Linked DNA regions of Tamandua tetradactyla. The protein of the gene in region 2 interacts with the protein of the main gene of each other region in a pairwise test. Links are inferred from orthologs where the notes say so. Each region holds a gene or a part of one and is shown on either strand. Other genes may lie near its edges.

Region 1 (7,793 bases), on a different chromosome or scaffold from region 2:
GGGCTGCAGAGCTTGGCTGCATTCTGCCATCATGTGTTTGGCCCCCTGGTTGCCAGGAGCCAAGGCTTTTGGTCAACTACATACGTATTTGTCCCACAGGGAAGCTGCTTTGGTTTCTGCACACATCCCCAGGGTGACACAACAGTCATCAGCCCTGGAGTGCAGCAGGACCCTCCCTCCACGCCCTACCTCTTCCCAAATCCACTCACTGGGTAATGCCCCCAAAGCTCCTCTCCACCACAAAAGCTGTGATCTTCTCTTTTGTGGTCCCTGTGGATGCATCTGTAATTGGTGTTTTGGCAAAAACGGTGAAGATTTCGGCTAGACCCCCGTTGCTGTGGAAGGATGAGGAGGGCAGTCAGGGTGAGGCTAATTGAGAGCTATGGGGTCTGAAATCAGGGAGGGGTGGAGAGGAGAGAAATGGGAGGAAGATTGCCTGATCCAAATCTTGCTTCCATTGAGGGTATAGTATTTTCCACAGGGGCTTGGCACAGCTGAGGTTCGGATGGAGGCAGCATCTGATCCACTTGAGGGCTCAGTGAGGCAGAAAGCAGCGATAGTCTCCCCTAGTTGGGGAGAGAGATTTACTGAGGGTCATCATGGGTAGTGAAGTCCCCTCAGTGTCCCCCAGCCCCTCCTACTGGTCTCCCTTAATGCCTTGGGCAATATTCAGTTTCCTTTCGTTACCCCAGACTCTCCTGCAACTTAGGTCCCCAGCTTTGCCAGTAATCTCAGCACCCGCCGGCCTAACTGGTGCCAAACCCAGGACACCCCCAAGCCCCCGGGTCTCCCAGGACTGCCTCACCAGATGCCAGTTTGGGGAGGTATTTTTCTTTCTGGGCCTTTGTGCCAAAGAGCAGGATGCCTTTGAAACCGATGCTCTGATGGGCCCCCAGAGTGATGCCCACGCCGAGGTCATGCATTCCCACAATCTCCACTAGGCGCGCGTACTGTGGGGGTGGGTGGGAGGGTAGGCAGGTGTGGGGCTGGGGTGGGGCCCAACCTGGGCCATCCCCACAGAGCCAATGCAGAGAGCAAGGTCAACTGTGAGAAGGGCACAACAGAGGGCACTGTGTCCACCCCAGTCTTGGTGGGAGGGGGACTTCCTGCTCTCCTTTTGCCAAGTGGTCCCACCTGACAGATTCACTTAAACTCGGAAACCAGGGTAGGGTCTGTGGCTGCAGGCAAGGGCACCTGTAGTCAGTGTGTTAAGTTTGAGGATGTGTGTGCACGGTGGGGAGAGTCAGCATCCCACAGGCTCCCGGGGCAGTAGTCTGGTCAGGAATGAACCCTAGAGGTGAAGAAGGGGCTGACTGCCAAGCTGGAGTGGTTTGGAAAGTGACTCGGGGGCTCTCCTCACCTGGGTATTGCAGAGGCCCACACCGCCCAACTCACTGGGCACTTGCAGACCAAAGGCCCCCAGCTCCTTAAGGCCCTGCAAAGTAGTCTCCTCCACCTGCTCCAGAGCGTCATTCTTGGCTGGATCATTCACCTCCTGGGAAAGAAGTCTCCGGATCCCACATCCAGACTCCTTTTAAATTCCTTAGCCCTGCCCCCCAACACCCTAGGGTCTAAGCCCTCCATCCCTCAGCTTCAGTCATTCCTTACTTGGAAGAAGCGGGACACTGGCCCCACAAGCTCCTTGAGAAACTGTGTCTGCTCCTCAGTGAGCACTGTGTAAGGGCAGGAAGAGGAAATGCAGGTAAGACAGGGCTGTCAGGGGAATGCCCTACCCCTCCCCACCTCTGAATAGCCATTCCCTTACCAGATGGGTATGGGAACACTTGGTCCGTGGTGAGATGGCCCTTAAACATCCCCACAGCAAAGGACTTAGATTCCTGTTCAGGGAAAAGAGAGTTTCAGGAAATTGTGTGGGACGGCTCTTTCCCAACTCAGTTCCCACGGGCCTTGGAACACATACCGTGTGGAGTTGTTTCTCTTTGGTGGGTACCTCAGGAAGGGAATCTGACTTATCCAGAACCGCCTGGGAAAAGGAATGGTTAGCGAGGTCGGGGAAGGGGCTTCCGGTGTGTCAAGGAGGGCAGATCCGGTCACCTTTCCCCTAGTTCCATCTCCTGCCCTTTCCCCTACTTCCGGTGCCAGCCTGCAGAACAGGTGTCTGGGGCATAAAGGGTGAGCCCTACTGACCGTGGGGCCCCGAGGCGAATCCCGACTCCCACACCTCTCTCCCACGTCCGTCGTCTCTCACCTGGGTGGCTCCACTGGCGTAGGGTCGGAGGGCAGGGCCCGGTTTGGGCTGCCCCAGGAGCGCGCTGCACCGCGAGCTGAGGGAAATGGGAGTTCAGGCCCGCCCCTGGGCCCCCCCGCTCCCCGTCCCCTGCTGTCATACACATACCTGCCGCCTCCTAACAGGAGTAGCTGCCGCCCCACGCTTGGGGCTATCCTTGCCCCCTGCATCTCCGCGCTGCTGAGGCCCCGGCTGCCTGGAGCTGACCTAACGCTTTCGCCCCGCCTCCCGCAGCCGGGTCCCTTCCACTTGACGCATCCTCCACAATGCACCGGGAGGCGGGCGGGCGGGGCTTCCCGGCGCCGGGCATGCCGGGAGTCGTAGTCCCGGAGCGCCCCCAGGCCCTGCATCCTGGTTGACCTGGAGTGATCTCCAAGCGTCATTTGTCCCTTCAAACTCCCTTATCCAGCCTGTCCAAATGAGAGGCTAGCCCTCCTCGGGAGGGATGATGAGATAGGATGGGACGGAAGAGGGAGGAGCTGAGGCGACTGCAGCCAGAGGGATTGAAGGTAGACTGAAGGGAGGACTTCCCACGTAGCATTAGAAGGGAGAAATTGAAAGACAGAAGTGTAAGGTGAACTCTAGAGGCAGACACATGGAAAGATGACTTTTCAGCCCCGAAAGAAATCCATCAATTTCAACCACAACCAAAGGGAAGGGAATGGTTGGGTGGGGTCTCAAACTATCCTCTTGAGACGTAGGAAGTGACACTCGAAGCACCGAAAATTTCACAATAGATGGCACTCCAGCACCCTGTGTTCACTGCCTCCCCCTATGGCCTCTAAGGCCTTCCTGGTCATCCATCTCTTTTTGCCCTCTGCTCCTTCCAGGATCATTGGGTCCAGGCTAGACCTCTGGGCAGATGGATTTTTCTGCCTGAAAAGAGCTATAGGAATACTCATCCCCTCTCTCTCCCATACTTCCCTGTGTGCTGACCCAGCCCTGGGTCAAAAAGTCTCAGGTAATTTATATTCCACTTCTGCAGTTCCATTGGGGAAAGGGCCCAGGAGGATAGAGCTGAGCTCAACTTCCTTACCTTTGTGCTGCAGGAACCTCTGTGTAGGGAAATTCTCTCTCCAAGCCCCACAGGAGAGCAGCTAAATTTGGGAAAAGAGGCCAGGGAATGTGGAGAAAGGGGGTGGCCGTGGGATCTGGGAAGGATGGAGCAGCAGGGCAAGTCAGTCAGAGATGTCTCCTTTCCCCAACAGTTAAAACTGGGTGGAGAGAAGGCAGCTCAATTTAATCCTGGGGGATTAGGGAGATTAAAATGAGAGAAGGGAGAGATGTCTGAGAGACCAAGAGGTGAAAGACGGAGCTCCTTTGGAGGGGTGGCCTGGGAGCAGAGGTGGGGGAACATGGTGCTGAGAGTCCCAGATTCTTGTCCTGAATCTTTCTGCAGGGTCTGGGGTAAAAAGGCAAAGGGTAGTGTTCCTGTAAGTGTCTCCGGCTTACCTCTTCCTGGCCCGATTCTTCCCTCACCTCCATTTCTCTAGCCCCCAGATCAGCTCTGTGGCTCCTGGCCCCCCCACTATTGCGGTGGGCACCCCCACTCCTTGCGGTGCTGCACAGTGACCTCTTCCAGGCCTTGCTGGGTGAGTAACCCCAATTTTCTAGGGGTTAGTTGTGGAAAAGGCTGGTTGGGACCCTGGAGCCTGCTGGAGGGGCTCTGGCCTTCTAGACAGCGGTGGTGACAGGAGAGGCAGAGGCCAGGTGGGGGATGTAACTCAGCTCTGTTCCTGTGACAGACATCCTGGACTATTATGAGGCCTCCATCTCAGAGAGTCAGGTAAGGGGGCAGCAGCAGGGGGCAGTGGCCTGTCTTGCAGAGGGAGCTGGCAGGATTAGAGGGGTCAGGAAAGGATTAATATTTAACTGAAGATGGGGTGGGGGTGGGGGTCCCAATAAGGGAACCCTGAGTCAGGGGCTTAGGGGCTTGGGGACTCCTGAGAATGTGCTCTTGCCTGTCCTTCTCCCTTTCCTCTGCCTGCCCCAATTTCAGACAGGAGAGTCCAGGACATAATTACTTTTCAGGCTTCCTTCTGGGAACCCCAAGTTAGAAGCAGTTCCCCAGGGATTCCCTCCTGCCAGCCCCTCCCTCACACCCTACCCCCCACCGTGGCCTCCCTCCATGATTTATTCCATCATGGGTGCTCCCAGCCCCAACCATGGGTGCTTCCTCCCCTAAGAAATGAAATCCGCCTTCATTGTCTTTGCTGCCGCGCTGGTGGCCCCAAGTCTCCATGTTTGCCTCAGGGCCTCTCCGCTTCTGCTTCCATCTCCCTTCCCATTATCCGGGTTCCTGCCGGCATTGAAGGAGTTAACTCTACCAAGGCACCCCCCCACAATCTCGCTCCTCGCTCCCTCCCTCCCTCCCCCTGCTTCCTCTCTCCTCCTCTCTCCCCTTCCCTCCTCGGCTCCACGGCTCCCTCAGCCGCTGCCGCCTCCAACCCCCCCACCCCACTCCCCCGCCACGGCCCTTAGCCCCTGGCCTTTAGGCAAGACCCCCCCACCCCCAGGGCTCCCCCAAATCCAGTTCCCCTCCCCCATCCCATCTCATGCCCCAGCTCCCGAACCCCGGGGCTGCCAGCCCCCGGTGCCCCTGCCCCTCCTGAAAATCGGGGTGTGCTCCCCAAGCCCCCTCCCCTTCATTGGGGTCCCCCTTTTAGGGCCCCCTTTCCCTCCCTCCCACGCTCCCCTCCTCTTCCCTTTTCCAACCCTCTCCTTCCCCTCTCACCCCTCCCCCCATCCTGGCCCCCCCTGCAAAAGTGGGGTGCGGAGGGGGGAGGGGTGAGAACCTGAGGAGGGGAGGAACGAAACTCCGATGAAGTCAGAGCCCCTTACCCGCCGCCGCGGCCAGGCCCCCCAACATGGACTGTCTCTGTATAGTGACAACCAAGGTAAGCGTGATGGAGGGGGGCCATCAACGCGGGTGGGGTGGGTATGAGTTCGTGGGGGGGCAGGCAGGCCTAATCTGGGACTGGGGGCTCTGGAGTGCGAGCATCAGAAATAAATGTATTTAGGGGTCATCATTTAGTTTTGGGGTGCACATCTCAGAAAAGGCTGGGTTTGGCCACAGGTGCCCCCTGGAGTGATCCCTTTGAACCTGTAGAGGAATTGAAATTTGGGGGTGTTCTATGGTTTGGGGGCTCTTGTGGGTTTGGGGGTTCACCAGCTATGTTTGAGGGAGACTTATTGAAGGAGAAGCCTGGCTCACATGGTAGTCCTGCTTGTTATGTTGGAAGGTGGGCTAAGTGGAGGTGGTTGTCTTCTTCCCTCCTGGGGTCCAAACTGGTTTCCAGGTTCCTTGTCCAATTTGAGGGGTTCTTGTGTGTGGGGGTAGAAGGTTATTGATTGTGAGTGCCTGACTGGTTTGGGGGTGTCAGCTGGCAGGGAAGGGGTGGGCCTTCAGGCTATAGAACAAGCATCTTGTGGTAAATATATTTTTTGGGGGGTACATCCTCAATTTGAGGGAACTGCTAATCTGGGGGTTCAATCATATGGTATGGGAATAGTTGAGAGTTGTCAGAGGGCTGGTGCCCAACACCTGAGGGTGGACTAGGTGAGGCTAGGATTTGGGGTACCCCCATGGGAGGTGGCAGGTTGCAGCAGCTGAGGTTGCCAGCTCCTGAGGAGGCGAGAGATTTCGAGAGAAGGGATTTGAGGAGGGAGACCAGGTAGACAGTGTGAAATTTGGGGGTGGCCCAGGCAGGTACCCAATCTCCCCATCTCCTCCCACACTGCATCCACCCCTGAAAGGGGAGAAGAGCAGATGGAGGAGGAGGCTTCTGCTACTCCTGAAGCTTGGGACCCAGGTGGGGTGGGGGGAGGACACCTGGATGTAAGGGTCCCTAAGATTTATGACCTAGGTTTCCGGGGTGAAAAGGAGGAGGAGGAAGGCAGGGCTGGCAGCAGCCAGAATCTGTTGTCCCTGTGATTGGAGCCTGGGACAGGCAGGAAATCTTGGATGGGAACTCAAGCCAGCTTCTGGTGGGATGCAGAATACCTGGGTCTTTGCTGGGAGACTCTGGGACTGGAGAGCTGGATGCCTGGAGTGTGGAGGGAAGCTTGGGCGGATGGCAGGCAGCTGGGGGCTGGGGGGTGGGACAGGAAGTGGGGGCCGGGGGGGGCGGGGTCCGGGTGAGTCACAGGCTGGGGAGGGGGTTATATTTAGTGGGAACTGCAGCTTCTCAGGGGAGGAAGCTGAGGACACACATGTTCCCTGCCACAAACTCACACATGTGTGTACACATGCGTTGTGCACGTGTGAGCATGGATGGAACAGATTGAGGGGGTTGAGGCCCTTTGGTCCTGGAACCCCTAACCCCTCCCAGGGTTACTTCCTTGTCCTTTATTCTGTGGCCTACCTGCCTGGGCCACCCCCAAATATCAGGCTGCTTCCCTCCTCCTCTGGGTAGTTTTAGTGGATCGTTGTTCCTCAGTTGCTCTGGCCCAGCCTCCTTTGATGTCTGTCTGATCCTCTGCTCCTCCTGTTTCCTGCCCTTGGCCTTAGGCTCTCTGGCTCTGGTTCCCTGTGTACAGGAAACCCATTGGAATCTGTGGGCTCTGCTTCCAACACTTAAACTCACAAACGAGTGAGGGTGAGGGGCTTGCCTGCTCTGGCAGCTATCCTCAGGGGGGCTTATTCATCCCCCTACAGATTCCTACTTCCCTGATGGAGCGCGAGGTTGGGTATCCCCAGGAGAAGGCTTATGCAGAGAGGGTCCTGCATTTGGGGTCTTACAGAGACGTGAAGACCCGGTCTTGCCACATTCCTTGGCCGGAAAACTTGTCTGCCTCGCCATAGCGAGGACTCCAACTCCCATAAGGCACTGAGACAGAAGCTCCCTCAATATTAGAAGATTGCTGCTCGCGGAGCTTTTGGGAGTTGTGGTTCAGCCTCTATCCAGGGCAGCAGAGGGTAGCCCAGAGGGAGCCAGCAGGGGGCACACAGCTCCTGCCCCCCCCTTAAAATGCTGGGTGGGGTAAGGAGCGCTCAGGCTGCTTGCGGTCGTTGAGCTCCCAGCATTGTCTGAGAGACCTCCATCTTTCCTTGCCTATATTTAGGCTCCTGCCGCAGTAATTTAGGGAACCTATATTGGATGCCTACTATGTGCCAGGCCCATGTTTTGTGCAAACTCTGCCTGTACAGCTTTCACTGGGTCTAACTCCTTGCCTCTATTTCTACCGGCATTTCGATCTCGGCATCTCTTTCTCCCACTCCGCCCCCGTCCCTGCCCCCTTCTCCCCGCGCTGCTGCCGCCGTTGCCATGGTAACCGGCGACGACTGAAGTTGCGTGGCTGGCTTGAGGGCTGGACGAGGCTGGCGGAGGGTGGGGCAGAACAAATGGGGGAGGGGGAAAAGTGGGGAAAAGACCAGGGGTATTTGGCCAGAGCCCCGGATGCGAAGAGGTTAAACCCTCGGGGTGGTCCTTATTGGGCAAAGCGAAGAAGCCGGGGGCGGGGCAGTTTGGCAAACGGCCTCATTCATTGGCCGACAGAGGCGTGGCGGAGGGACCGTGTGGGCGAGGCCCCAGAGCGGATGGGC
Region 2 (6,883 bases):
TTCAGAATCAGGCTGATGAGTAGAATGAATTAGGAAAATTGGGGACAAAGTTAAGGATCAGATTGAACTTTGAGTTCATTGTATTCTTTTCTCCCACCAGCAGCCTTCTGTTACTCATGACATCAGAACTTACTCAGAAAGCTATCATTAATGGAAGAAATGAGGCAGAAAGGGAGATATGGGAAAGCATTATAGGACAAAGCCATTTTAATGTTGGGATTACACTTCATACAAGGGAAATCATGAAAAAAAATGGGAAAAGGAACTCAAGAATATGGACTACATCAAGATGTCTTTCTCAAGGGGCAGGCTGCCTATATGATCCCATTCAAGTTGGAGAAATTCTTTTCCCATTTCACACTGTTCTTGTTTCAGGGAACAAAACAAAAATTGAAGTAACTTAAGGAAAATGGGAACTTGAACAACTAGCCACAAGAAGAATCCTCTTTGGACCCATCTGGGTTTTGTACCTTCCAAATGGCAGCTTCATTCTTTCCACTGCAGCCTGGTAATGCCTGTGTAGAAGGAAACATAGCCAAGCCAGTTTCAGAGTTGTTTTTTTTTTAATTTCTAAAGCTATCAGTGAAAGACTACGAGCTATTTCTCAGGGAAGGGACTCAGGGCCAGTGAACATTTGTCACTCAGTTAACAGTGACCAAGTGCTTTGATTGGTCCAACTTATAACTTGGCAGTGAAGGCAAGGTTGTTCAATGGAGGTAGATCCAATTTAAAAATGTAGAACTAAGGTAGGGTAATTCCTAGAAAAGGGTATAGCAGACAACTCCAAGTGATCATCTGTTATTTATGAAGTGCTTATACATACATACATGCTGGTTAGTCTTGTATTTTCTTTTGTTTTTCCCCAGGTAGCAAACAACAGCAACACATTTTAGTTAACTCAGTTAATGGGAATAAATTATAAAGATACAGAGAAAAGTGAAGAATTACAGAGAGCCCATCTCAGCAAGCGTACAACAGTCCAGCCAGTATATCCTTCTTTCCACATCAGGTAGTAAGTGTTTCCGAATCTGGAGGGCCTTTCTTACGAAGATTCCGTTGAGATTGGACACAAATGAGAGAGACACACATGATTCTTCCTCATGGTTTCTACTTTCTCATCTTTCCAACTTGCCCCCACACAGTACCATTTTCCTGTCTACATCTTTAAATCTCACATTGAAATTATTTGAACTAGACTCTGATTGGTAGAGCAGGCACCAGGATGCTTCTATTGAGTAGAGCTCTCATTCCAAATCATTTTATAAGCTGCTGTTCAAATACTCACTTTTGGCAAGTTACCAATCATTATTTCAATCAGAGACAGGAAAATGGAGCCAAAGCAGAAGAAACCGAGTAGTAGAGGCAAATCATGGTGTGTTAGGTATTTTAACTGGTAGACATCTTTTATGGGCTGTCTAGTACCCACAAACATAGACAAAGTTTTTTTCCCAATCAATAAACATTAGTTAAAAACCCTCATTTGCCAAGAGTTATTCTGGAAGGTATGGATGAGACCAAGACATACAAGAGAGTTTCTGTCACAAAAGAGCTATAAAATTGATAGGGAAGGAAAACTATCAGAAGGAACACAAGTAAAAAACAAACAAAAACTCCAAAACATTCAGACTATTTAATTTTTCCCACAATTTAAGTTAAAATACAAAATTAATATCTTGCAACAGAATTAGCATCAGAAACAAGACTTTTTTTTTTTTTTAAACACAGAGATTTAAACATTTCCAAAAGCAAGAAGCTTGTTTGTTTTTGTCACTTAAGTTTTTATCCTAGGGACAAAATGGGAATTTTAGAAAGTAACTTTCACAGAGGAGAGGTGTCTGAGAGTCATCATAAAAATCAGAAGAGGATTTAAGAAAAAAGGACTGAGAAGAGCTTGAAAGAAAGAATAAAAAAATAGAAGGGGGGTAAAAGAAATAGAAATCAAAGATGATCCATACCAGCAGTGAGCACAGTTTTGCTGCAATCTATACCATTCTGGGCAAATCACCATCATCTGCTCTCAGCTTAGCTTCTGCTCATCCTGGGCTGCTTCTGAGCCTCTTCTCAAGGCTTCCTATTTGCTGTGGGCCTAAGAGAGAAAAGGGTTCGGACTTCTGGGTCGCTGCTACTGTTCCTGTCTGTTCTTAGCTCCATGGAGCTTCTTAATGGGCTTGACTATAGATAAAAGGTATGGAGGAGGTCTCGAATGATGAGTGAAGAGGGAGGGAGGCTGATTTTTAGGCTCTCCAGATACTATTTATTTGTATATTTGCTGTCCCTAGAGAAACCAAAAAAAAAAAAAAAAAAAAGAAAAAAAGGGAATATAATTCATAGAATGCCTGTGCAAATAGCAAACCAATAACCTACTACCCCCAGGAGGTTCTGGACCCTATTCAGGATACAGTTCCAGAGCTGCATAAGGCAACGGATACGTAGCCTGCTATGACCTGGTCCCAAGATATTTCAGATCCAGAGAAGCCCAGAGACTGCCATAGCCAGCGCTGATCTGAGGAGTGCACATTTTCAGTGTGAACAAGGAAGGAACTTAAACCTGGGTCAGTTATATCTTGGCATGGTCTTCTTAAATCCTTTCAGGCTGAATAGTTCAGGCCTAGGACAATTTCTAGTCCATTAGGGCTAAATCAATAGCTTTGGAATAGAATCTGCATAATGAAAATGAACCCAAACCAAGTTGTCCTAGAGTACAGGGAAAAGCTAAAAAGACCCCTAAAGTTTAAAATTCAAAGAAAGTGCTTCTACAAATCTGTTTTGCTCAGTGTCAGTTACCTTGGGTGGGAGAGGCTGCATAGTCATAGTCGGGGAACAGGGATGATAACACCCCAGGACTACCTAATCTGTGTTGATTCCCAGTTATCATACCGAGGGGAGGGAGAGGCAGTTTTGCCCCCAAGACATGCTGATTTTGCTTCTATTCTAGCGAAGGTGCGGTCTGTGGATGAGTACCTTAGGGCAATGGTGAAAATGGTGACATCTTTAAAAAAATAAAAGAAAACCAAAAAACAGGCTCCGTTGTCTGCCACTCCGCGGGCCAGCTGTCCCTGGTGTCTGCTGGGGGAGAGAAGGGGAATGTTTCAGTCAGTGGCCTCGGGTAAGCCCTTTACGTTCGTCTTCCCCCGCCCCACCATCTACTCCCTTTTGCTGACAGGTGTTTTCCCGAACTCCCGAGGCTGAGGATTTTGGGGAGTGGCTGAGCCAATAAGAGTTCCCCGTGGGGGGGCGGGAGAAAGGGCGTGGCTAGTTGGGTCAGAGCAGGGGCGGGGTTTGAACTGCTGAGCAGTGCCGGCCTGGTTGCGTGGAGGGTTTTTTTTTTTTTCTTGTTTTTTTTTTTTCCGGGAGTCTTATTAATTTCTCTGAGGGGCTGCAGCTGGAGACTGCCGAGCGTTGGAAATGACGCTCGGAGCTTTAATTACCGCAGCCGCCGGACAAGTGTGAGGAAAGCTGAGAGAAAAAAGGACAGGATCGAGGGTGAAGCAAGACGCTTCCCCCCTCTCCGCCCCTTCCCTCCCGATTTGGACTGGAGGTGCAGGGAAGCAGAAAAAGGAGCCGAACGTAGCCCGGCTGGTGGGGAGAGAGACCGGAAACCTACCGCCTCTTTGCAATCAACTTTTTTTGGAAACCTTTTATTCCCCCCTTCCTTTTTATTGTTGACCAACCAGCGCGAGAGAGAAAGTGAGGAGGGAGCGAGAAAGCGAAGGCTCACACGGGAAAATAGCTGCACAGTCCGACCCGGAGCAGCACGCGCACATCCTCACGCCCCCCCCGGGTCCCCGCCCGGGACCCGCGCGCGCAAGGACTCCCTCGCCGGCCCTCGCAGCCCGCGCAGCGCGCGCGCCGCCAGCCAGCCCCGCTCGGGCCCCCACGCGCGTCGGGCTAAGGGATCTCCTTCGCGCCCCAGAGAGGGGATATGCCATTTGGACATGTAATTGTCAGCACGGGATCTGAGACTTACAAAAATGAAGCTGGCGGCGACAAGACTGTGGGTCTGGGTGAGCCTTTTCGTGGCGGCGGGGACCGTCCAGCCCAGCGCTTCCCAATCAGGTGGGTCGCGGTTCGTTCTTTTCGCGCTCCAGCTGTTGAACCTGCTGCCGCCGGCTTGGCTGCCTCCGGCGGCTCCCTAGCTCTCTCCGCGCATCCCGAGACCCGCCAGCTTCCAGGCGTAGAGGGACCACCCGCCCGTGGCCGCTTCTTTGGGCTCTCGGTCACCCCTCTTTCCATCCCCAAACTTGCCTTGTGTGCGTATGTAATTTATCGTGAAAAATCACTGCGCGCCCCGGTCTCTCTTTTTCCTCTTTCCTTTATCACCCTCCTTTCTTTTTCGTGCATAAACGGGATCCCTTCTGGTGGCGCCTGTTGTTGAGGACGTGGGAGACCCCCAATTCATTCAGAGGAGACTCTCCTGTCCGCGTCTTGGCCCTCGAGGCAAGAAGCCTAGGAGAAGCGCGCAGCGTGGGAGTGACTGAGGGGCTGGGGTCCCGGGGCGCTTGCCGGGCCGCTTCTGAGCCGCGGGGCAGTGCACAGTGAAGCTTCGAGAGCCGAGCTTTGCACCTGTGTGTGCTGCCGGTGGGCACTGCGCCCCCAGTCGCCCGAGCCTTCCCGGGTCAGACCCGGCTAGAACCCGGACTGGGCAGCTGGAGCGCAGCGGGCGGGCGTGCCTCGGCCCAGGCGCGGGAACCCTGGGCCTCTTCGGCCGGCGTCCCGGAGTCCCTGGCCCCAGTGAGTTGAGGGGCGCTTGCTTGCCAGCCTGACCTCTTTTTTTTTTAAAAAAAAAAAAAAAAAAAAGGGCTTGGCACGCTAGAGTCTGGAGCCCGGACTTCAGGTCGGTTGCTACGTTTGGCTCCGGGAAGAGTTCTTCCTGTAGTTCAACTTGCTGTTGGCCGGAGTCCCTCCAACTTCTCTGTTTACAGCCCGACTGGGCTGTCGAGCCGGCCGGTGGCGCGAATTGATTTAACCCCCGGAGGGCGCGCGGACTACGCTGGGTGCACGACCACTGTTTGCTGGGGAGCTTAAGCCCCGGGTACCTAGACAGGCAAACGCCTAAATGACCCCCGAGGCAGCGCAGTGGGGCTGGCGCTCCCGGGCGGGCAGAGCTTCTGATAGCACCTGCAGTGCGAGGGAGCTCAAAGTTTCTGACACTTGAGTTTCCTGTGGATGAATGCGGGATAGGAAAGGACTGAGGAGAACCGGTGTCTGACTTGGCCCAAGTGGGAGGCGGAGTGGGGTGCTTTGGAGAGCCGGGGAGATTTCCGGATCCATCCGGGGCTGGTCGCGAGCGTGTGGGAGGCGGCTTGAAGAGATAAAGCCACCTGGGGTGACGATAGGGAAAGCTTTGGGCCTCTGGAGCGTGTCTTCCTGACCTCAACAAGAAAACAGCGCTCTGTAGTTTTCCCGCTCCGCCCCCGCCTCCCCCTCCTTGCCTAGTAAATAGCAAGTTATAATCACTGAGGCTTTCAGAATGACCTTCGAATGGCACACGTGCGCCGTTTGTGCTGGCCATTTGCACCCTCCCAATTACTCCGCAATTCTTCATGCATACCAGGTCCTGCGCTCCAGCCACCTCCGGAATTACACACCAACACGGACTTGAGATTCCAAGCGGCCTCTTAGATACATCCCTTTTTATCTCCCTCCTCGCTCCGAGTCCCTTCATATTTCCCCTCAATGGGTTGATTATGCACATTGACCCATTCAAAAACTGTTGCGACTGACTGACATGCAGGCTTAGCTGAGAAGAATTTCTACGAGGCAACCTACTGGGGGCTGCATGGTTCAGCCTCAGCCGCGGGGGGACCCGGCTCCGAGTCCGCAGCGATTTGGCATCAACTGTGCGGCTCGCGGGTTGAGCTATGCCGAAAAAAACCTTTTCAGAATTTCTGCAAGGAATGTAATCCAAATTAGTTCTGCAGCTGTCCTCTTCCTCGTCTCAGGAGACGCCGGCTCGCGCCCTAGCTGGTCCCGTCCCTTCTCGCTTCCCGGAGCGAATTGTCAGACCCACAAGTGAGCCCATTTAGAGCGCGAGGATTAGCGTGCCATTGTTGTTCCGTGTGTGACTCTGTACTTGAAATTCTGGGGGCACAAAGGCGAGTCTCACTTGTTCAAAACACAAAGTGATAAAGATGAAAGGGCCGCACAAAGAAACGCTCTCGGGTGCATCCCTGGCATAATTGCGACACGCATGCTGGGGTGATCCACTGGAAACTGTAAATGCCCTTGGGACATTTTTTTTTTTAATCTACCCCCACCCTCACCCCACCACACCTGGCAGGGAAAGTTCAGCTGATTTTAACATAGTGCTATTGTAAAACCAAGCTACTGTCTGGAGTGAGATTGAGGTTCACACTGTGTGTTTGTGGTTGCGTTTGTGTGTGGCCGTATGTGCCCTAGTAAATAAAGTATTGCGCGTCTCCCCTCTCGCGGTTAGCAGTCAGTAGCAGTTTGGAGGAGTTTGTTTTGGTCCAAATGAGAAATTAAGTACGGATAAGTAAACTAAGCTGCCAGAGGGCGACAAGATGTTGAGTGAATTGCTTTTAGATGAAACAAATTAAGGAAACGAGGGAAGACAATCTGCTTCTCGCATTATTAGACACGCTTGGAGTTCGGGGGGGGGAAAGTAGCATATTTTTGAAATGCTAATTTCTTAAGCAGAAGGAATGCACCTTATTTACAGCTCTATGTGAATGGAATAAAAATATAGGGGGAGTCTATTGTTTATATCTTTGAGATTTTCTTAAAATAATTGTAATTGAAGACGATTTGCATCTATTTATTTATTCTTCCTTTGCATGGCAGAATATTCAGCTTTAGAGAAGACTTTTTAGTGATTTTGAAGGACTTTGCCTCATCTCCAGAAGTTTATTTCATATAAAAA
Region 3 (7,226 bases), on a different chromosome or scaffold from region 2:
GGAAGAAGAAGGAGCATCCGTGAGCAGGAAGCTCTGGGGTGGGGGAGAAGAGTTCCTGCAGCTGGGAAGGAGCCAATCAGAGCAGATGGTGGGAACAAGGTTACCTTCCAACAGGCAGGAAAGAGAAGAGGAGGCCCCGCCCCCCATGCCAGTCACCTTAGCACACAGCAAAGCTGAAAGGCACACAACAGCACCCGTGATGGCCCTTACCTGTCAGTTTCTTCTTGATGGCATCCTTGGAGCTAGCATAGATCATTTTGCTCTTGAGGGGTGCACACTCAGGGGCCCTAGAAAGAAACACAGCCGGGGAGCTCACGGCAAAGCCCCTTCTCCAAGCTCAGCAACCACCCTCAATAAACGACTCTGAAGAACCATCTAACCAGCTTTCAAGCATTCAAGCCTTGGCATTGCCCACCGACACTGAAGTGTTTTTGCAACAACCCTCTCCCCACAAGCACACACCCCTAGGTTATACCAAGAGTCACAAAAATTACCATCCTAAGAAAGGGGGACAAGGCAAAGCTGGGACAGGTGACACGAAGAAGTGCCTGAATGAGGAGCTCACCAGAAAATAAACACCAGGTCCTCCTTCTTGCTCTCCTTGGTCTCATAGGTCGCATCATAAAGGGCATAGCGGCAGTCCTTGTCTGGCAGCATCTTGACAAAGGTGGTGTAGGGGTCGTCGACAGTATGGCCCACATCACCCACCAGGATCTCCTTGCCCTCTTCCAGGATGATGTTCTTTTTGTCCTCACTCAGGCAGAACAGCACAGCCTTCTTGCGCTTCTTCACCTCCTCTGGAGTTGACGACTTGCGCACCTTCATGTCGTTGAACACCTTGATGACGCCATCAGAGACAGCCACGCCAGAGGCCTGGAAGACAAGCAGTATGTGCCTCTTAAGAACAGGTGGCTGGAATCTCCCCAAAGTCTCCCTTGTCTTCTCAGAGGGCCCCAAGTCTGGATGCCACAGTATAGTCCATGACCCCACACTCCAAGGCAAATGTCATTATTTTCCCCACACAAGCCACTGCCAAAGGACTGGATGGGACATGGGAGACAACCACAGGACGGCAGCCATGGAGAAGACCTCGGATCACATAGTTCTACACCCCCCTGCGTTTCACAGGCAGGGAAACTGATGACGCGGGACAAGCAGGACCTCAGCTGAGATGCCAACCCAGCATGAAAACGAATCCACAGGCTACCAATGCGTTTCCTACTCAGAATACTCAATCTTGGCTTGTGAGAAAAGTGCTGACCTGGAATATCTCAGAGATGGTAAGAGGACCCAAACACCTAGGCCATGGGTCTTCTCTTCAGGGAACAGGTAGCCAGAACCCCAAACGCTAGACGGGACACCACGGTGTCCAACAGTTCATCACAACTGCTCAATACAGTTATTACCTAAATTATTCACTAAATTATTGTTTTAGTTGTCCCCCAACTAAAACAAGAATGACATCTTCCAATGAGGGCTCTGCAGGACAATTCTGTCCCCGGGGGATGATGCAAGGCCTCAGAGATCATCGGTAGAAGCTAACAACCCAAACTCTAGAGCCCAGAGTGCTAGAGAGTTTTTTAAACTTCTACCCTACGTCCTCCTAGGGGAAGCCCCAGTAAGGAAAGACAGGGACTGTCCGCGGTGAAATCTGTACTCCCCTCTCTGGAACTGCAGAGGAAGCCGGCCACGTGACGCAGCCGCTTCCGGAGTGGGAGAAGATAGGTTAGGCCTGGCCCTCCCCAAGAGAGAAACCCTTGCCCGAGGCAGCAGCACCTCCGGGCCCTTAACCCTTAGCACCGCTTTTCCCGACGGGCATTTCAAACCCTATCCCCTGCGGCACGAAAGTTGGACAGCTCAGGTCGAGCACAGTGGGCGGGGTGTTCTCAAGCGGTAACCGCCTGGGTCATTTCCCTCGGCTCGGCTCCACCCTCAGGCCATCTGGGTAGGCCGATGGCCCCGCTTGTCCAGGGCCTCGGCCCCCGCGGCCGGGCCCGAGCGTGTGCGCACGCGCCGGCCGCCAGCGCCGTTCCAGCCCGTGCCGGGTATACCCAGCAGAGGACCCGGATCGCTTTGCGGGTTCGCTCGCTCCCGTGCGCGGGCGTTGGAGGGGAGGCCCCAAATCCAGCCCGACCAGGTTCCCACCCGCTCTCCGCCGCCCCAGCATCCCCGCTTTAGCCGCGCCGCCCCCGCCCTTCCCGGGCATCCCTGCCACCTGCTCTCCAGACAGGCCCGTTAGCCGGCCGAGGGAGGATGGCGCGGAGGCACGAACAGCCCTTGGGTGGGGCGCACGTGCCCAAAACGCTCGCGCGCCTTCCCCTCGCCGCCCCCGGGCTCTGAACGCCGCATGCCCCGGTCGAGCGCGCGCCCCACGGGAACCGACTCGCTTCGGTCCGCGCCGCCGCGCGCCGGCTGCATCGCGAGGGGCAGGCGCGCGCGCGACCCGGACCCCTCCCCCCACGACTGATGTCCGCGCGGGCGCATCAGCGGGATGGGGGAGGGGAGGGGAGGCCAGGGGGCGCGCGAGCGACGTCCGAGCCGGCCCTCCTCGGCGCCCGCGGGCGCGCACGCGCACCCCGAGCCGCCCGCCCCTCAGCGCGAGACCCTCGTCCCGCCCGCGGCGCCGGCTGAGGGGTGCCGACGTCGCTCCCCGTCCCCTGCCGTGCGCACAGACGACCGGCCCGCAGCCGCCTCCCCTCGGGCGCTGAGGCCTGCCGCTCACCATGTTTCTGGATGCTAAAGGGACACAGCAAGGAGAACCGGAGAAGATGAGAACCGCTGCAGCTGCCGCCGAGATCCGACTGAACGCGGCCTCTCCCGACCCCTTCCGTTTAGTATGAGCCGCACAATGAGGGGCGGGGCGGGCTTCCGGCGCCCCTCCCCGCGGGCGGACGGGAAATGAAGTCCGAGGGTCCTGCGCCGTCCTCCGGCTCGGCTGGTAGCGGGGTCTTTCTCGACAGCCGGCCTCCGGCCCCGCACTGCATGCCGGAAAGTGTAGTCCAAGGTTGCGGGGAGGGGGTCGGGAGGCGGGCAGTGGGAACGGAGAACGCGCCCATTGGTGGTTTCCTAGGAAACGCGCTGACCTGAGCAATCTGTGCCGCCGCAAGTAAAGGTTGACAGGGAAAGGAGCCCCGACTTGGCGGCTCTTTATCCCGAAGCCAAACGATTTTCCTCAGACCCATGTTGGCACTTTCTGGATCTCTCAGTCTGGCCAGTTTGAGTGGGGTTAGGATTTTGCTTTTCGGAATGGAAGCAATTATCCATGAACTGGAATCCAGTTCTAAAGCAAGGAAAATGACAAGTACAAGGGCCTTCAATCCAGCATTCACTCAGCACCCTCCGTGTGCACAGCCACTCTTGTCCCCCGAGAAAAGGCCATACGCAACTTTAAAAAAAAAAAAAAAAGGAGAAAAGAAACACAAGGGACAGGCAGGCTACAGGGAAAACTTTGAAAGGAGGACTTTGTCCTTGTTTAAAGATGTTTGGCAGACATTCATCCATGGGGCAATGAAAAGGGAGGGCAAGGATTTGTGCATTCAATTCAAGGATTCTCTACGTGCCTTTTACTAGACACAGAGGAAAGGAAACATATTAAACCTGACTCGAATCTCCGTGCCCACCTCGGATACCTTGACTTCAAGCTCCCCACTCCTGTTCAAGTTGCTGTTCTCGAGTTGATAGCCAGTTAGATGATTAAACTAATACCCGCAAAAACTGAAACTAACGAAATAAACCGTTTGGGGTGAAGGGCTCCGGGAAGACTTCGCTGACCGGGACAATGACCATGACCTCACACCCTGCAAGAAAAGGCAAGATTGCAAACAAGTCAGAGACAAACCCAGCAATGGGACCGGGGGCGTGGATCTCATAAGCCGAATAACGGGTGTTAACGGAGAGCAGGCAGCCGGGTCTTCGCGAAGCCCGGGAGTGGGGGTACCTCGCAGAACATGCCGGGATTTGTAGTCCGGGATCTGCTGCTGTACCTCCCCCACCCCCACCCCCACCCTCGAGCTCCCGGGAGCCCCAGGGGGAGGCCGCAGCTCGAACCCCATCTTTCACAAGGGCGCGTGCCAGACTGGTAAGTTGATCCCACCTTTTTCGCGCTTCGCAGTTTTCAAGCGCAGCGAGGGGAGTGGGGCGGGCTTGGTAGTTACCCTGGAGACGTGCTCCCGCCCACCCCCCAGCCGCGGGATGCCCTAGATGTCCTTATTAGGACAGGAGACTGGAGGGGGTGGGACCAGCCCGAACGCCGGCTCCAGGCTCCTTATAAGGCCGCTTCTGGCGGGAGGCGGGCGTCCCTAGCGGTTTCGGGGTACCAGGGTCGCGGACTGGGTGAGGTCTCGAGGGGCGGGCCTGGAGATCTGCATCTAGCGACTTCCGGCATATCAGCCCGAGGCCTGGGTCTGCTCCAACTCCCTAGTGAGACCCTTAAGCCCAGCCCCTCAACCTTGAACCCCTTTACACGGTTCTTCAAACCCCCTGGGGGTGCCCCACCTCCAATGTGCCACAAAAACGTCCAAAGTGTTCTCCCCTTCTCCCTCTGTCTCGGCTTCTTACCCGCAGCCTGCTACCCCGGATCCAATCATGCGCACCCCATCTCAGGCTCCCCACCTACCAGCACCTCCTACCTGTAGTCCCCTTCTACCTGCCCTCGGCCTTATCCCGCCCGTCTGGCTTCGGCCCTCTTTTCAAGTCCCCGATTTCACGGTCCCCACTCTGCCCTGCGACCCCTAACTCCTGACCGCCATTTCCTCCGGTGGTCCTTCAGCAACTCCTGCCTTCCCTCTGTGCCCTCCCCTGTATCCTCACGTAGATATTCCTCCCGCAAATACACGTGCACCCATCTCCCACCCACCATCCCTCTCCGGGACTCCTCGTAAGCCCAGTCGGGCTGCCCAGGCTCTGCAAGGATGAGGCGGAAAAGCTCGGTTAAGCGCGCCCGCAACGCGCACTGCCAGCCGCAGGGGGCGCTGTCCGCCTTGCTTTCGCCCGCCCGCGGAGGATCTTCCCTAATCGCCCGGGCTCTGGACGCGGAAGTGGGCGGAGGGGCGTGGCTGAGGCTCGCGGGGCCCGGGTGGGGCGCGGGCCGAGGCCGAGTTGGGCGGTGGGAGCGAGCGGAGCGCTGAGCCGCGGAGATGGCGCCGGGAGCCACTTAGAGAAGTGTAGGGGCGGGGAGGGGGAAGGGAGGCTAGCCCGGAGTTAGTGTCTCGCGGGCGGGACCACGTGATCGGAGAGGCCCGCCTCCCCTCGGAGCCAGGTGTTCGAATCTCTCTCCCGAGCGGGCGGCGTCGCAGTCCCGCGAGCTTGAGGCCTGCCGCGGCGCCCATGGCGGCGCGCGTCCGCCTGGGCCGGAAGCGCCCACTGCCGGTTTGTCCCAACCCGCTCTTCGTCCGCTGGCTGACCGAGTGGCGGGACGAGGCCGCCAGCAGGGGGCGCCGCACTCACTTTGTATTTCAGAAGGTGGGTCCCGGCCGGGCCCGAAGGGGACCAACGCTGGCCGGGCTGGACGCGGAGGCCTGCCCTGACCCGGTACCGCACCACTTCTCCCCGCCAGGCGCTGCGCTCCCTCCGGCGATACCCACTGCCCCTGCGCAGCGGGAAGGAAGCTAAGATCCTACAGCACTTCGGAGACCGGCTGTGCCGGATGCTTGACGAGCGGCTGCAGCAGCACCGAGCATCCGGCGGTGAGCGCAGGGGCCGGGGGTGGTCGTCTCCAGCCGCCCACCCAGGTGCAGCCTCTGTGCCCACCTCGGATACCTGGGCTTCAAGCTCTCGCACACCTGTCCCAGTTGCTACTTGATCTCTGGCCAGTGGCAGAGTCCCTCCCAGCCTCCTCCCCAGCTGCCGGATTCCTGTGGGAATGCCAGGAATGACTCTCGTCTGGCTCCGCAGGTGCCCATGAACCGGGCTCACCACCTGGAAGAAAGAGCCCTGCCCAGGATGGGCCACCTGCAGAAGCCCAGGATCCTTCTGTGTCGGTGAGGAGGGGGCCGGGGAGCAGAAGGAAAGATGGGATCACCAGAAATAAGGTTTATCTGGTGATATGGATGATTTTGAGGAATATTTGACATTTAGCAGGCCTGGAGACAAATCTCCCCATCAGTGATGCCTGGCCTCCGGCAAGTGATATCCTCTCTGAGACTTGTTTTCTCATCTGTAGGCAGGGATATTGGCAGGAATCTTTCAGAAAGTTCTATGAGCAAGCTTCATAGGGGGCCCAGCCCGGTACATCGTTGAGGTTGCCATTACTGAGTTGCCCTTTACTGAGATTGTACCGTGGGCAGCGGTTCTGGAGAACTGAGGCTGGATCAGGCAGTTCCAGTCCCCCACAACCATTCCCTGTCCCAGCCCAGCTTTGCAGGGAATCATCCAGTCATCTGACTAGTTTTGCAAATAAAACTGAGAGGCAGCTGAGTGACTTGGTCGACCTAAACCTCAAGTCCTCTGGCCCTGCCAGGCGTCCCCACAGAGCCACTGTTCAGAGCCCTCTGTACCTGGCAGGTTCCAGCCAAGCCCAAGGCAGGAGGCTCTGGTGGCTACTGGCCAGCTCGGCACTCAGGGCCACGAGTGGTGCTGCTGCTGCTTTATGAGGAGCACCTGGTGAGTGTCTGGCCTGCCCAGGAGTTGGGAGAACAGAGGCAGTGGGAGCAGAGCAAAGGGGGCTGAGCCTACCCTATCATTTTGACCTTGGTTTCAGACACCTGGCAGCCCTGGCTTCCTAACCAAGGAGCAGCTGCTGCAGAGGTGTTCTCAGAAGGCTCCTAAGGTGAGCACTGGGGTAGAAGGAGGATGGGGCTGAGCAACTTTACTTCTAACCCTGAGCCCACCAGAGACTATCCATCAGGAGTGAGCAATATGTGGGGTCGGACCCATGGCTGGGAGCAGGGATAATGTGGACACTCAGCTCCAGTGAATCCCTGAGAGCCTCAACCTACCCTGCCTCCCCATCAACAGGTAGCCCCTGAGAGTGCTCGACCCTGGCCAGCCCTCCGTTCCCTCCTTCACAGGAACCTCATCCTCAGGACACACCAGCCAGCCAGGTGGAACCAACTCGGGGAGACACAGGAAGCAGAGAGGGGGCATGACATCTTCGTGGGGTGCTGCATTCATCCAGCAATGCCCAGGCTTCATGCTAGGCACTATGGAGACTGGGGCAAGGGTACCAGGAGGGTCTGAGAGATGGAGGCAATGAGTGGAAGAAGATTGCCAGGGGTTACTGGAGAAGC

Evidence for each region. The genes of interacting proteins can lie anywhere in the genome.
Region 1: the proteins of ERBB4 (region 2) and DLG4 interact in binary tests that used the Homo sapiens proteins (3 or more experiments, as listed by UniProt). The link is inferred for Tamandua tetradactyla from reciprocal best matches to the Homo sapiens genes ERBB4 and DLG4.
Region 3: the proteins of ERBB4 (region 2) and CFL1 interact in a protein complementation assay, tested with the Homo sapiens proteins (2 studies listed by BioGRID and IntAct, with this or other methods). The link is inferred for Tamandua tetradactyla from reciprocal best matches to the Homo sapiens genes ERBB4 and CFL1.

Annotation. Positions count from the first base shown.
Region 1 is NC_135332.1:61,085,230-61,093,022, reverse strand, and holds the start of DLG4 (disks large homolog 4), read left to right. Parts: upstream 1-4,780; 5' UTR 4,781-5,115; coding exon 5,116-5,145; intron 5,146-7,793. Other genes in the region: ACADVL (very long-chain specific acyl-CoA dehydrogenase, mitochondrial), read right to left, coding at 210-335, 437-566, 806-950, 1,361-1,531, 1,609-1,673, 1,766-1,838, 1,922-1,984, 2,210-2,285 and 1 more. UniProt on the Homo sapiens protein: Postsynaptic scaffolding protein that plays a critical role in synaptogenesis and synaptic plasticity by providing a platform for the postsynaptic clustering of crucial synaptic proteins.
Region 2 is NC_135329.1:187,876,067-187,882,949, reverse strand, and holds the start of ERBB4 (receptor tyrosine-protein kinase erbB-4), read left to right. Parts: upstream 1-3,865; 5' UTR 3,866-3,971; coding exon 3,972-4,056; intron 4,057-6,883. UniProt on the Homo sapiens protein: Tyrosine-protein kinase that plays an essential role as cell surface receptor for neuregulins and EGF family members and regulates development of the heart, the central nervous system and the mammary gland, gene transcription, cell proliferation, differentiation, migration and apoptosis.
Region 3 is NC_135335.1:8,665,991-8,673,216, reverse strand, and holds the start of CFL1 (cofilin-1), read right to left. Parts: upstream 3,014-7,226; 5' UTR 2,726-3,013; coding exon 2,723-2,725; exon of another isoform or gene 2,636-2,722; intron 2,317-2,635; exon of another isoform or gene 2,216-2,316; intron 1,281-2,215; coding exon of another isoform or gene 1,185-1,280; exon of another isoform or gene 874-1,184; coding exon 566-873; intron 288-565; coding exon 211-287; intron 1-210. Other genes in the region: structure-specific endonuclease subunit MUS81, read left to right, coding at 5,326-5,460, 5,555-5,684, 5,893-5,978, 6,502-6,600, 6,698-6,766, 6,955-7,040.